Callithrix jacchus: one gene and its partners. The protein of the gene in region 3 purifies or fractionates together with the protein of the main gene of each other region. This does not show direct contact. Links are inferred from orthologs where the notes say so. Each region holds a gene or a part of one and is shown on either strand. Other genes may lie near its edges.

The links.
Region 1: the proteins of MAP1LC3A (region 3) and CLTC purify together in Homo sapiens (affinity purification with mass spectrometry; 3 studies listed by BioGRID and IntAct, with this or other methods). This does not show direct contact. The link is inferred for Callithrix jacchus from reciprocal best matches to the Homo sapiens genes MAP1LC3A and CLTC.
Region 2: the proteins of MAP1LC3A (region 3) and CLTCL1 purify together in Homo sapiens (affinity purification with mass spectrometry; 3 studies listed by BioGRID and IntAct, with this or other methods). This does not show direct contact. The link is inferred for Callithrix jacchus from reciprocal best matches to the Homo sapiens genes MAP1LC3A and CLTCL1.

The regions. Positions count from the first base shown.
Region 1 is NC_133506.1:94,241,249-94,244,748, reverse strand, and holds part of CLTC (clathrin heavy chain 1), read right to left. Parts: exon of another isoform or gene 1,953-3,500; intron 1,584-1,952; coding exon 1,446-1,583; intron 1,203-1,445; coding exon 1,038-1,202; intron 886-1,037; coding exon 705-885; intron 1-704. UniProt on the Homo sapiens protein: Clathrin is the major protein of the polyhedral coat of coated pits and vesicles. Two different adapter protein complexes link the clathrin lattice either to the plasma membrane or to the trans-Golgi network.
Region 2 is NC_133502.1:210,867,860-210,871,359, forward strand, and holds part of CLTCL1 (clathrin heavy chain 2), read right to left. Parts: coding exon 3,401-3,500; intron 2,022-3,400; coding exon 1,858-2,021; intron 762-1,857; coding exon 636-761; intron 48-635; coding exon 1-47. UniProt on the Homo sapiens protein: Clathrin is the major protein of the polyhedral coat of coated pits and vesicles. Two different adapter protein complexes link the clathrin lattice either to the plasma membrane or to the trans-Golgi network.
Region 3 is NC_133506.1:4,744,815-4,748,394, reverse strand, and holds MAP1LC3A (microtubule-associated protein 1 light chain 3 alpha), read left to right. Parts: upstream 1-1,457; 5' UTR 1,458-1,604; coding exon 1,605-1,644; intron 1,645-1,739; exon of another isoform or gene 1,740-1,808; coding exon of another isoform or gene 1,809-1,815; intron 1,816-1,967; coding exon 1,968-2,023; intron 2,024-2,111; coding exon 2,112-2,218; intron 2,219-2,500; coding exon 2,501-2,663; 3' UTR 2,664-3,080; downstream 3,081-3,580. Other genes in the region: GPI-anchor transamidase component PIGU, read right to left, coding at 3,488-3,580. UniProt on the Homo sapiens protein: Ubiquitin-like modifier involved in formation of autophagosomal vacuoles (autophagosomes). While LC3s are involved in elongation of the phagophore membrane, the GABARAP/GATE-16 subfamily is essential for a later stage in autophagosome maturation.

The DNA.
Region 1 (3,500 bases), about 89 Mb from region 3:
TAATCTGAAAATCCAATTTCTGAAATGCTCCAACAAGCATTTCCTTTGAACTCAAAAAGTTTTGAACTTTGATGCATTTTGGATTTTCAGATTAGGGACACTCAACCTGTATTTTCACTTTTTACAATTTAAACATCACTACATATTTTTCTCTTAAAATTCTACCTTTAATTCATCTATAAAATATCCAAACAGATGGTCTTGTTCACTGCATATCCTTAGGATCCAATATAAAAGGGCCTTGATGACATTATTATTATTATTATTATTTTTCCCTGAAACAGAGTCTCACTCCGTCGCTAGGCTGGAATGCAGTGGCGCAATCTTGGCTCACTGCAACCTCCGACTCCCAGGTTCAAGCAACTCTCCTGCCTCAGCCTCCAGAGTAGCTGGGATTATAGGCACGTACCACCACGCCCAGCTAATTTTTATATTTTTAGTAGAGATGGGGTTTCACCATGTTGGCCAGGATGGTCTCGATCTCCTGACCTTGTGATCTGCCTACCTCGGCCTCCCAAAGTGCTGGGATTACAGGCATGAGACACCACGCCTGGCAACATTTACTGAATAACAAAACTTAAAAAATTAAAATGTCCCATAGAACCAAATTTTTAGAAAGACAAAATTTCCAATAGCCTGATCATAAGCATACCTCTTCTTGGCTATCTTAAGTACTTTTTACAAACTCAAAAACTCCTAATTACCTTCAAAACTCTTGAAAGATTCAAAAAGTTCAATCAGAGACTGAGTTGACAGTTGTTCATGATATTTAGAAGCCACCTGAACACAGATCTGCAGATTCTGACGAATATTGGCAGACAGCATGGCTCTGAGACATTCTAGAGAGTCTTCTACTGATAAGGAACCAAAGTAATTCACTAACCACTACAAGACAAAATAAATGAATGAATGAATAAATGAAACAATGTTGAAACTCATGGAGGTATGAAATTATTAATATTTAGTACTACAAACACATTTTCAGTGTGCCTATTAATCACAACTAACACCATCTATTAGGTAAGAAACTAAAATACCTCAGGGTTAAGAAGATGGGTGTGAACCACTGCACGTTTTATATCATATAAATCAGTGAAGTGTTCTAATGCACGCTGCAGTAAGCCAGCCTTTTCACACAGCTGAGCGATATGAGCCCGGTCATAATGCGTGAACATCTGATTGCCTAGAATAGCATCTGCAACCTGTAAAACCACAAATAAGGTAAGTTTATTGTCCATCCCATTTATATGAGTAATTCAATATCCATATTACATATTAAGGTTTAATAGTGAACTGATAAAAGAAAGTACAAAAGAATATATAATAGCTAAATTTTCTTGTATAAGGAGTAGGCATCTCAGTAGCTTTGAATAACAATCTGAGATGCTCTGCACAATTATTAAAGCAATATTGGAAACATGCCTAAAAAACATTAGAACACATACTTGAGGCGCATGCATAAGGTTCATCTCAAGTAACCGCGTCTGTAAAGGACCTTCAGATGGGCGATTATTCTTCAGTGCATCAAGCAAGAATGCGGTACATTGCTGAATTAGATTGTATTCCATAAAGACATCTACAATCTGCAAAAAAAGAGATAAAAGAAATTGTTTAAAGATACTATGGAAAGTATGTAGACAAAATTATGCACAAACTCTTTCTTTACCTGAGAATTTATTTGGACACTATAAATGCTTTAAGAACAAATTTTGTCTTCTAGAGAACATAGTTACTTTGAGTTCTGATAAAAACAACTAAAATATTTCAAGATATTACATACTAGCAGAATAGAATCAAACAGATAGACCTTTATTTTTACGAACTTTTGAAAAACAATAACATAAACAATATGAAGAACTCTGAATTGGAAGACTCACACTTCCGGTATGCATCTCTTCCCTCTCCCCACACTTAGGAGCAACCACTATCCTGTTTTATCACCCCCATGTATTTTTTTTTTTTTAATAACTATTTTTCTATTTATTTGAAGCACAGTAAAAAAAGAAAAATTGGTACACTTTGGAAATTCAGTGGCACAAGGTACACTGCCATAACTTGAAGGACATTATACAGTAAAAAAAGAAAAAATAAGGAAGTAAGAAAAAAAATTATCCTGTTTCAAACAACTGCATTACATAATTTTACCTGCCCAAACAGACCATTTACAAATATTAGGTCAATAAACTACTAACATCCATAAAAAGATAGCTTTCTTACTAAAATGTCAGAATTTAAAAGATTGGTATCTAAACAAAAGACAAAACAAACTGGAATGAAAGCCTAGATATCACATCTAAAATCGGGGTTTTTCTGTTTGGGCCTTCGTACTCTTCTCTCCCTCTACCATATCCTGCTGGAGTTCCAGGCCCCATTCCTCTAGGACCCTGTCCACCCACAGGCCCCGCACCTCCTTGCCCAAAGTGCTCAGTACGCATGTCACTTCCTATCATGGAACCACTCATGGTTGCTGGTGGAACTCCAGGATTAGCTTCATAACCTATGCCACCACCACCACCTAGAGGTGGAAATTTCTGGCCTCCTGAACCATAGGGATCTCCCATGTTCATTGCTCCTCCGCCACCCATTCTCATGTCTCTTTCTCTTGGATCCATGTAGCCCATTCGGCTATAACTTTCCTCTCTTTGGCGCCTCATTTGTTCTTTCATCTCACGCTGACGAATCATCATCTCTTCCTCTCTTCTATGTAGTTCCTCCTCTTGCCTCAATTGCATTTCTTTACGTTTCTGCATTTCTTGATTATGAAGTTCTTCCATGCGTCTTAATTCTTCCTGTTGTCTCATCAGATCTTGGTGCAAAAGATTTGCCTATGTTCATGATAGGCATCTTCCATTTCACTTTCCAATTTGTCTTTTGCATCCTTCATATTTTTTTCATTTGTTCTCTTTGCTGTTTTTCCATTTCATCCAACGACTTCCATCGCTGAGAATATTCGTACTCAAATGTGCCATGCTGGGCAAAACGAGGAGTTTCTCCTTTTGATACATCGGATTCTTCTGCGCAAGTTTTTCAGGAAGACCATCTTCATCAGCTAGCTGTTCAAGTGGTTCCACGATGACTGGACGAGGAGTTGTTGTCAGCAAGAAAACATCTTCACTGCATCGTTCAAATGCCTTTCTTGCTGCTGGTTTAGAAGCAAATTCAACAATGCCTTTCCCTGTAGATCTTCCACGATCATCCACTATTACAACAGCCCTTTCAATAGGACCAAACTGGCTGAAGGCTTCTTCCAACAGTTCACTGGAAACGTAAGGTGAAAGATTATGAACAAAAAGGGCAGCAGCATGTGTGGCAAAGCGAACTCGAAGCTGTCTACCTCTCATGGGCGTATCATCGAGCTCAGCTTTGGCAATTTCAGCCAAAGCTCTGGATTCAGGCTTAATAAATCCGAATCCTTTGCCTTTGTTGATTAAATCTTTTCCAGGTTCTCCATATTTAACAAATAGTCTTCTGAATTCATCTTCCGTGATATCAGCAGGTAG
Region 2 (3,500 bases), on a different chromosome or scaffold from region 3:
ACATCAAGGAGCCCTCCAACCACAGCTGGGGTCCGGCTAGGATTGACCTAGGGTAGTCAAGGTCAAGTAACTTCAGTGTTGCAGACACAAGTTATTGTTGGAAGCCCCCTACAACTTGGACAGTGTGGGCAAAATCCTGAGAGGGCTCCTGTTTAGGACTGGGCTTTGTCCTACCAAAATTCACTCACTGATGTCCTAACCCCCAGTGGGATCATATTTGGAGAGAGGAGGTAATCAGTGTCAAGGGTGGGGCCCCAATGCAGTGGTACTGGTGTCCTTTAAGAAGAGGAAGAGACACTGGGAGTGCACGTGCACATGCACAGAGGAAAGGCCCTGTGAGGGCACAGCCAGGAGGCATCTGCAAGGCTGGAAGATAGCCTTCACCAGAAACCAGCCCTGCCAGCACCTTGATCATGGACTTCCAGCCTTCAGAACTGTGAGAAATAAATGTGTGTTGTGTCAGCCGCCTGGACTATGGTCTTCTACTCTGGCAGTCTGAACACACTAACCGATCACCCTTCAAAATGATAGTCTCCAAAATGCTCAGGTGTTAGAGGCAGCCTCTGAGGTGAAGACTATTGCCACTGACTGGGGCCCAGGGGCAGCCGGGTGTCACTCCAGGGAGCCAGCAGTACCTTCTGCACGTAGATCTCAATGTACCTCTGCAGGTTGTTGCGGTATAAATACAGGACAAGGTCATGGACAAAGCCAAAACGATCACACACGATGATGAGGGGAAGCTGGTCTGTGAGCTTGGCCTCCTGAGGGTTAGAATGCACAGAACAAGTCAGGGAGAAGAAACCAGCCAGCCAGACCCTGGGCTCATTGCCCACATGGGACGGCACTGTCTCTGCAGCAGAGGGACACACAGGAGACTCGGCATGAGACTGCTCTAGATAGGCTGCTGTTTTGTGGTGTGGTGTCTGCTTTGGGAAATAAGTGAGAGGAAGATAATAGTATTTGGTTAAAGAGTGCTAAATTTGGCATTAACATTCCCAGTCTGGACGAAAGCATCTTTTGATTTAAGACAAGCAGCTCATTATGTGCAAACCCAATAGAAACCAGGCCATTCTCAAGAACAGCACACCTGCGGTAAGGGCTGCCTTTTCAGACACGCAGCTGCAGGCCATGGAAACACACCTGGGCACTGCTCCCAGATGATGATGGCACTTGGGTACGACAGCCACAGGTCACCACAATCATGTCTCCCCTTGTGTGGTCCCATGCCTAGATCATATTTCCTATGTTCCCTCTTGAAGTTTTAAGTGTTTCCCCCAGGGGAACGTGAATCCAAGTGTCATCTGCCACTTGCAGGCTTTGCCCATACAAACTACCTGTGCTGGTTCCTCTGTGCTCTTCCCTTCTAGCTGGCTGGGAAGATGACATTCGGGTGAGGTGCTGAACACAGCAAAGCAGCTACGAGCCTGGTCCTTGAAGGACACTGGGAAGGAAAGCCATCCCACTCACCTCCAAGCCACCCAGGACTGCCACATAAGGAAGTAGGTTTCCTGTTCTTTATGCCACTAGTGCTGAGTGGTCTACTAGTTCCTGCAGCTTTGCCTAATTTACAAGGCACCAATGGGATGTTGATGAACTGCAATGCAGGAATGTACTAACTCCCTCCACTTAGGTGCCAGATACTTAGAGCACAGCCTCTAGCTTCCTTCTACAAGTTCTTAAAATGATAGATGGATTCCTCTAGAACTTTAAGCCATAAAGTGGAGCTCTGTCTCTGGGGACTAAGGGGGCCCTGGCGAGACAGATCCAGCTTCCCACCTCCTGGGACATCTGTGGATGGTCTGCCCCACCTGCCATCAGCGAGGGCAGCTCATGGAAGGAGGTGGTGCTGAAACACACCTTCAGGAAGTTCTTCACATGCTCTGGGTTGTAGCAACTGCTCTCCCGGCATATCCTCTCCACCTCCTTGATCTGCCCTGTCTTACAGGCAGCCTGAATGTATTTCAGATGCACGTCTGGGTCTTGGCTGAAGTTCACGATTGAGCCCAGGAAGTAGAAGAGGCCTATGAAGAGAGACCATTCCATTTTTGTCCTTGTAACTCCCACCTGCCTCCTCCACAGCTGTTGCCCTCCTTCAATCGATGACCCTGCTCCACTCTTCAGGAACCCACAGCCCACTCAGAACTCACAATCAATATGCCATTTGTCTGTTTTGGCAGCTCCCAAAAATAGTCAGTGAGATTTCCATCATATTTGGCAGGTACACCTGCATGTTTTGATGTAAAATACTAGGTATTTGGTACATGTGAAATTCCTTTTGGTGGCCCAGGTTTACCTAGATAGTCATCATCAAGAGTCATTCTCACTGACGTAATCTGAGAGGGCTGTGAGACTGCTGCTCTAAAAAGGCATGCCAAGGGACACAGAAATAAGCCATGGCCTCTGGCAGGAGCCCACAACTTGACACGGAGCTGACAGTGACATGGGCCCCACGTGCTGAGCCACTGGGGTGAGCCCCAGAGGACAGCATTCACAGAGGCTAATGATGTTCCTCACCGTTACAGAGGCCAGCCAGGAGGCACCAGTAACAATAGGATAGGATACATCCAAGAAGGCCCCTCCCTGTTGAGGTCTTTCACTGTAACCGTGAGACTCTGATGCTAGGAAAGGAATGGGCAGCCCCAAGGCCAGAGGTTCCCCACCAACCTACTTTACTGCCCTCTCCCAGCCCAGCTCCAGCCAATCTTCTGTCATGGTCTTTCCTACAGTGATGTCTTCTGAAGAGAAGGCCAACTCCCTGAGGGAAGGGTCCTGGCCCACCCTCCACTGATGCCCCAACCTCACTGGACACATGGCAGTGGCTTGATGCCTAGACAAATGCTCAGTCTCTATCCTGGGAGGGCCAGACAGCCCCAACCTGTCCCTAACAAAGCCACTCCCACCCCACTGCCCTACCACACTTTTGTGATGCCCAAGAAGGGCAAAGGAATAGAACCAGGTTGCCTCAGCCTCCACAATCAACAGGTAGCAGACACCACAAAGCAATGCACTCATGGGCTCTCACTTAGGAGCGGTCCTAGGAGCCTCCCTCCTGGGGCTATGAAGACCAGACATCAAGCCCTTTCACTGTACTCATGTCACAGGCTTTTAGATGAATTCTCGCCAGACTGTGCCGCATAGACACACCGGGCTCTGTAAGTCTCTCTACCCCATCACCAACCAACCTATTTCTTCATCAGGAAACACCAAAAAGGTTACTGAAGCTGAGTGGTGCACATGAGATAGCAGTACATTCTGCCACCAACTGAGCACCCAAGGCAGCAGGTGCTACATCCTGCCCAGCTTTGCAGGAAGGCCGTTTTAAGTCAGGCAGGCAGACAGCAACACCTGAGAAAAGAGGAACAGTCACGTCGCAGGGTCAGCCAGAGGCTGCACAGCTTACCTTCATAACTCTTGAAGAATTCGAAGAGCTCCACCAGGGCCTGCGTGCCCAGCTGCTCGTGGTACTTAGAGGCCACCTGCACACACAGCTGAAGGTTCTG
Region 3 (3,580 bases):
TCAGTCTTCCAAGTTCTTGCGTCTCATACATCTTGTTTCTGTAGCCCGCAAATTAATCATTATTCATGTTGCATATTACATGCTTGTTTAGATTTACTCACGTTTACCAATTTGCTCACCATTTTTCCATCTAATTTCTTCCTTTTCGGTTCCATGTGCTTGTTACTGAAGTACATTCTTTAAAAATTATTTCAGCTGCCGCACTCAGTGGCTCACGCCTGTAATCCAGCACTTTGGGAGGCGGAGACGGATGGATCACGAGGTCAGGAGATCAAAACTATCCTGGGCAACGTGGTGAAACCCCGTCTCTACTAAAAATACAAAATTAGCTGGGTGTGGTGTCACGTACCTGTAGTCCTAGCTACTCAGGAGGCTGAGGCAGGAGAAATCGCTTGAACCCGGGAAGTGGAGGTTGCAGTGAGCTGAGATTGCGCCAGTGCACTCCAGCCTGGGCGACAGAACGACTCAGTCCCACCCCCCAAAAATAATTTCAGCAACAGTCTTTCGTGTAAGCTCTTTGTCACCACCTATCTTTACTTCTTAACTCTTAAATCATGGATCAACACCTCGTTGACAGCATTTTTCCTGTCAACGAGGTGTAAAGCGTTACATTTTACTGTAGCCTTCTACGTTTGCTGCTGAGAAGTTTGTTATTGGTGTAATTTTTAAAATCCATCATCCTTGGTCGCTTTTAAAATCGCATAGTCTTTGGAGTTCTGCAGATTCACTAGCGTCCAGATGTTCATCTCCGGTGTTTGCATTCCACCCGATTTTAAGAATCACTTCTGGCAGCTCTCCTTCAGGAACTGCCTCTGCAGGGAGCTCTGCCCCGGCCTGTGAGATCTCCCGGCATTGCCATCCGTGGCTTTTTCCTTTTTATTCTCCATCACCTGTCTCTCTGGTGAGCTGCTTCCGATCAGCCTCCAGGTCCGCGCACTCTTTTCTGCTGTCCTACACCTCATCCTCCGAGACCTGAATTTCCATGGCTCTACTTGTCAATTCTAGAATTCCTTTGCAAACCTGGGCCTTCTTTTGTGATGTCTTGCTTGATCCTGTGCCTCCTGCACCTTCTCCCGTCTCTCGTCCTGAGCCCCTAGAAGGCGCCGGCTGTTTCCCACGGTGCCCAGAATCGCGCCAGGCCTGGCACAGACTCGGTGAGGGCGCGGGGAGCGGTGCCGCGGGGCTGCAGCCTGGCCCGCCCATTCCCTCAGCCCTTGGCAGCCCCGCCGCCCTCCAGGCCTCACCTGAGTTCCGCGCCGGGAGAGACTCCTGGGCCGGCCATGACGTCACAGGACTGTGACGCGCCCAGGAGCCCCGCCCCTCGCGTCCCGAGCCGGGGACCCAGGGGCTCTGCGCCGTGACGTCATGAGCCCGGGCGGGCAGGTTGTGCGTCGGCCCAATGGGAGCAGTGCGCCGGCCTCCCCTTTAAGGAATGTTGTGACCTGACGTCACCGGGCGAGTTACCTCCCGCAGCCGCCGCCGCCGCGCTCAGCGCGAGCCCCGGAGCCCTTCAGCGTGAGGCACGGAGCCCCCGGAGCCCCCAAACCGCAGCCACATCCCCACGTCCCAGAGCCCCGGCCTGCGCGCCCAACCGGGCCCGCGCGATGCCCTCAGACCGGCCTTTCAAGCAGCGGCGGAGCTTCGGTGAGGCCCCGCGGGCAAGCTGTGAGCTCGGAGCAGGGGTACGCGGGGGCCCGGCCGACCCCGACTACCGCGGGTGACGTCAGTCCTGTGACGTCAGGCCCCAGCCGGACCCTCGGGATGGGAGGCTGACTCCAGCCTGGGCGGAGGCCGCCCACCTCCCCACCATGATAGGTGCTAGGGGCTGTGGGGCCTGCCGGCCCCGGGGGCGGGGGCTGGAGCTGGGGCGGGGCCGGGGGCCGCCCCTTGGGGACAGGCGGGGCGGAGACACGGGGAGGACCTGGGCCCGGCTCAGCCCGGCCTCAAGGTCCGGCCGCCATCCGCAGCCGACCGCTGTAAGGAGGTACAGCAGATCCGCGACCAGCACCCCAGCAAGATCCCGGTGAGTCCGGTGCCCCCAGCCCTGCCCCGCCCTGGCCGCGCCTCGCGCGCCCCCGACACGAACCCCTGCCCGCCTGCCCCGCTCCCAGGTGATCATCGAGCGCTACAAGGGTGAGAAGCAGCTGCCCGTCCTGGACAAGACCAAGTTCCTGGTCCCGGACCATGTCAACATGAGCGAGTTGGTCAAGATCATCCGGTGCGTGGGCAGCCGCCGCCAGGAGGCAGCTTGGGTCTGGCGGGGAGCCGGGTTCCCGCCGAGAGGAGGTGGGAGTGGGGTCAGTAGTGATGGGACCAGGCGGTGGGCCCCTGTTCTGGCGCGGCTGGAAAGGTCAAGGTCGGGGCTGCAGTTGGAGTCGGGTCAGAGGTGAGAGCTGGGGTGAGGATGGATGTGAAAGGCTGGGAATCATTCTGGGGGTCAGGGCTGTGCCTGCCCTGCAGCCACGTCCCTCACAGCCGCACACCCTCCCGCCTGCCTCAGGCGCCGCCTGCAGCTGAACCCCACTCAGGCCTTCTTCCTGCTGGTGAGCCAGCACAGCATGGTGAGCGTGTCCACGCCCATCGCGGACATCTACGAGCAGGAGAAAGACGAGGACGGCTTCCTCTACATGGTCTACGCCTCCCAGGAAACCTTCGGCTTCTGAGCCAGCAGTAGGGGGGTCGGCCTGGGAGTGGGGGGAAGCCCGGTCAGGCCCTGCCCAGAGAACCCCTGGTTCCTGAACTGAGCTGCCTCTGCTTGGGGGTGGGCTGGGCAGGGATGTGGCCCCGTAGTCAGAGGGCACCAACCCACCTCCTCTGCCCCTAAGTGGTTTTGTTAGGGTTGCCCCTCTGGGTGCTGGCTGGGATGGGGGAAGGTGGGAAGCATCCCCCCACACTCCTGCTGTGTGGTTCATCTTTTTTTTTAGGCCCCTGCCTGCCCCTCACCCACCCGAGGCTCTGCCCACTACCTGGACCTGCCCACCCCTGAAAGACTGGCCCCCCCACCCCTCCATCTCCACATGGTGTATGGATCTGTGGTCATTGTCCCTCTGCAGAATAAAGATTGCTCAGGCCTGCCTGGCCCTATGCCTCCAGCTGCTTGCTTGGGAGTGGGGAGGGTGCTGGTGGGGCTGTCCGAACCGTCCCTGGGCTCTGACATACCAGAAACACACACCTGTGTGTACTTTCCAGAACATTAGGGGCCACCCCCAGGAGTGCAATGCAGATATGGGCCCAGGGTAGGTTTCGTAACAAAAAACATTTATTAAGTAGCCACAACCTAACAAGCCCTGCTCACCTGCCTTTTCCAGAGCTCCCAGTTCCTCCCCAGAGGTCTTGCAGTCAGCCATGGGTCCCTTTTGATACCAGAGACTTGTGACCCTGGACTTGAACCTCTTCTGCCCAAGGACTCGCCTGCTGGCAACTCTGGCTGGAGGGCCTGGCCCAGTTTCCCGCCCCTGAGGTCCATGCAGCCCTGTGCCAGCCAGGCCTACTTGAGCACAAGCATGGCCTCCGTGCCGTCCTTGGCCGTCAAATAGAGGCCGTGTGTGAGGTAGTACTCCCGCCGCAGGAAGGCATAGAA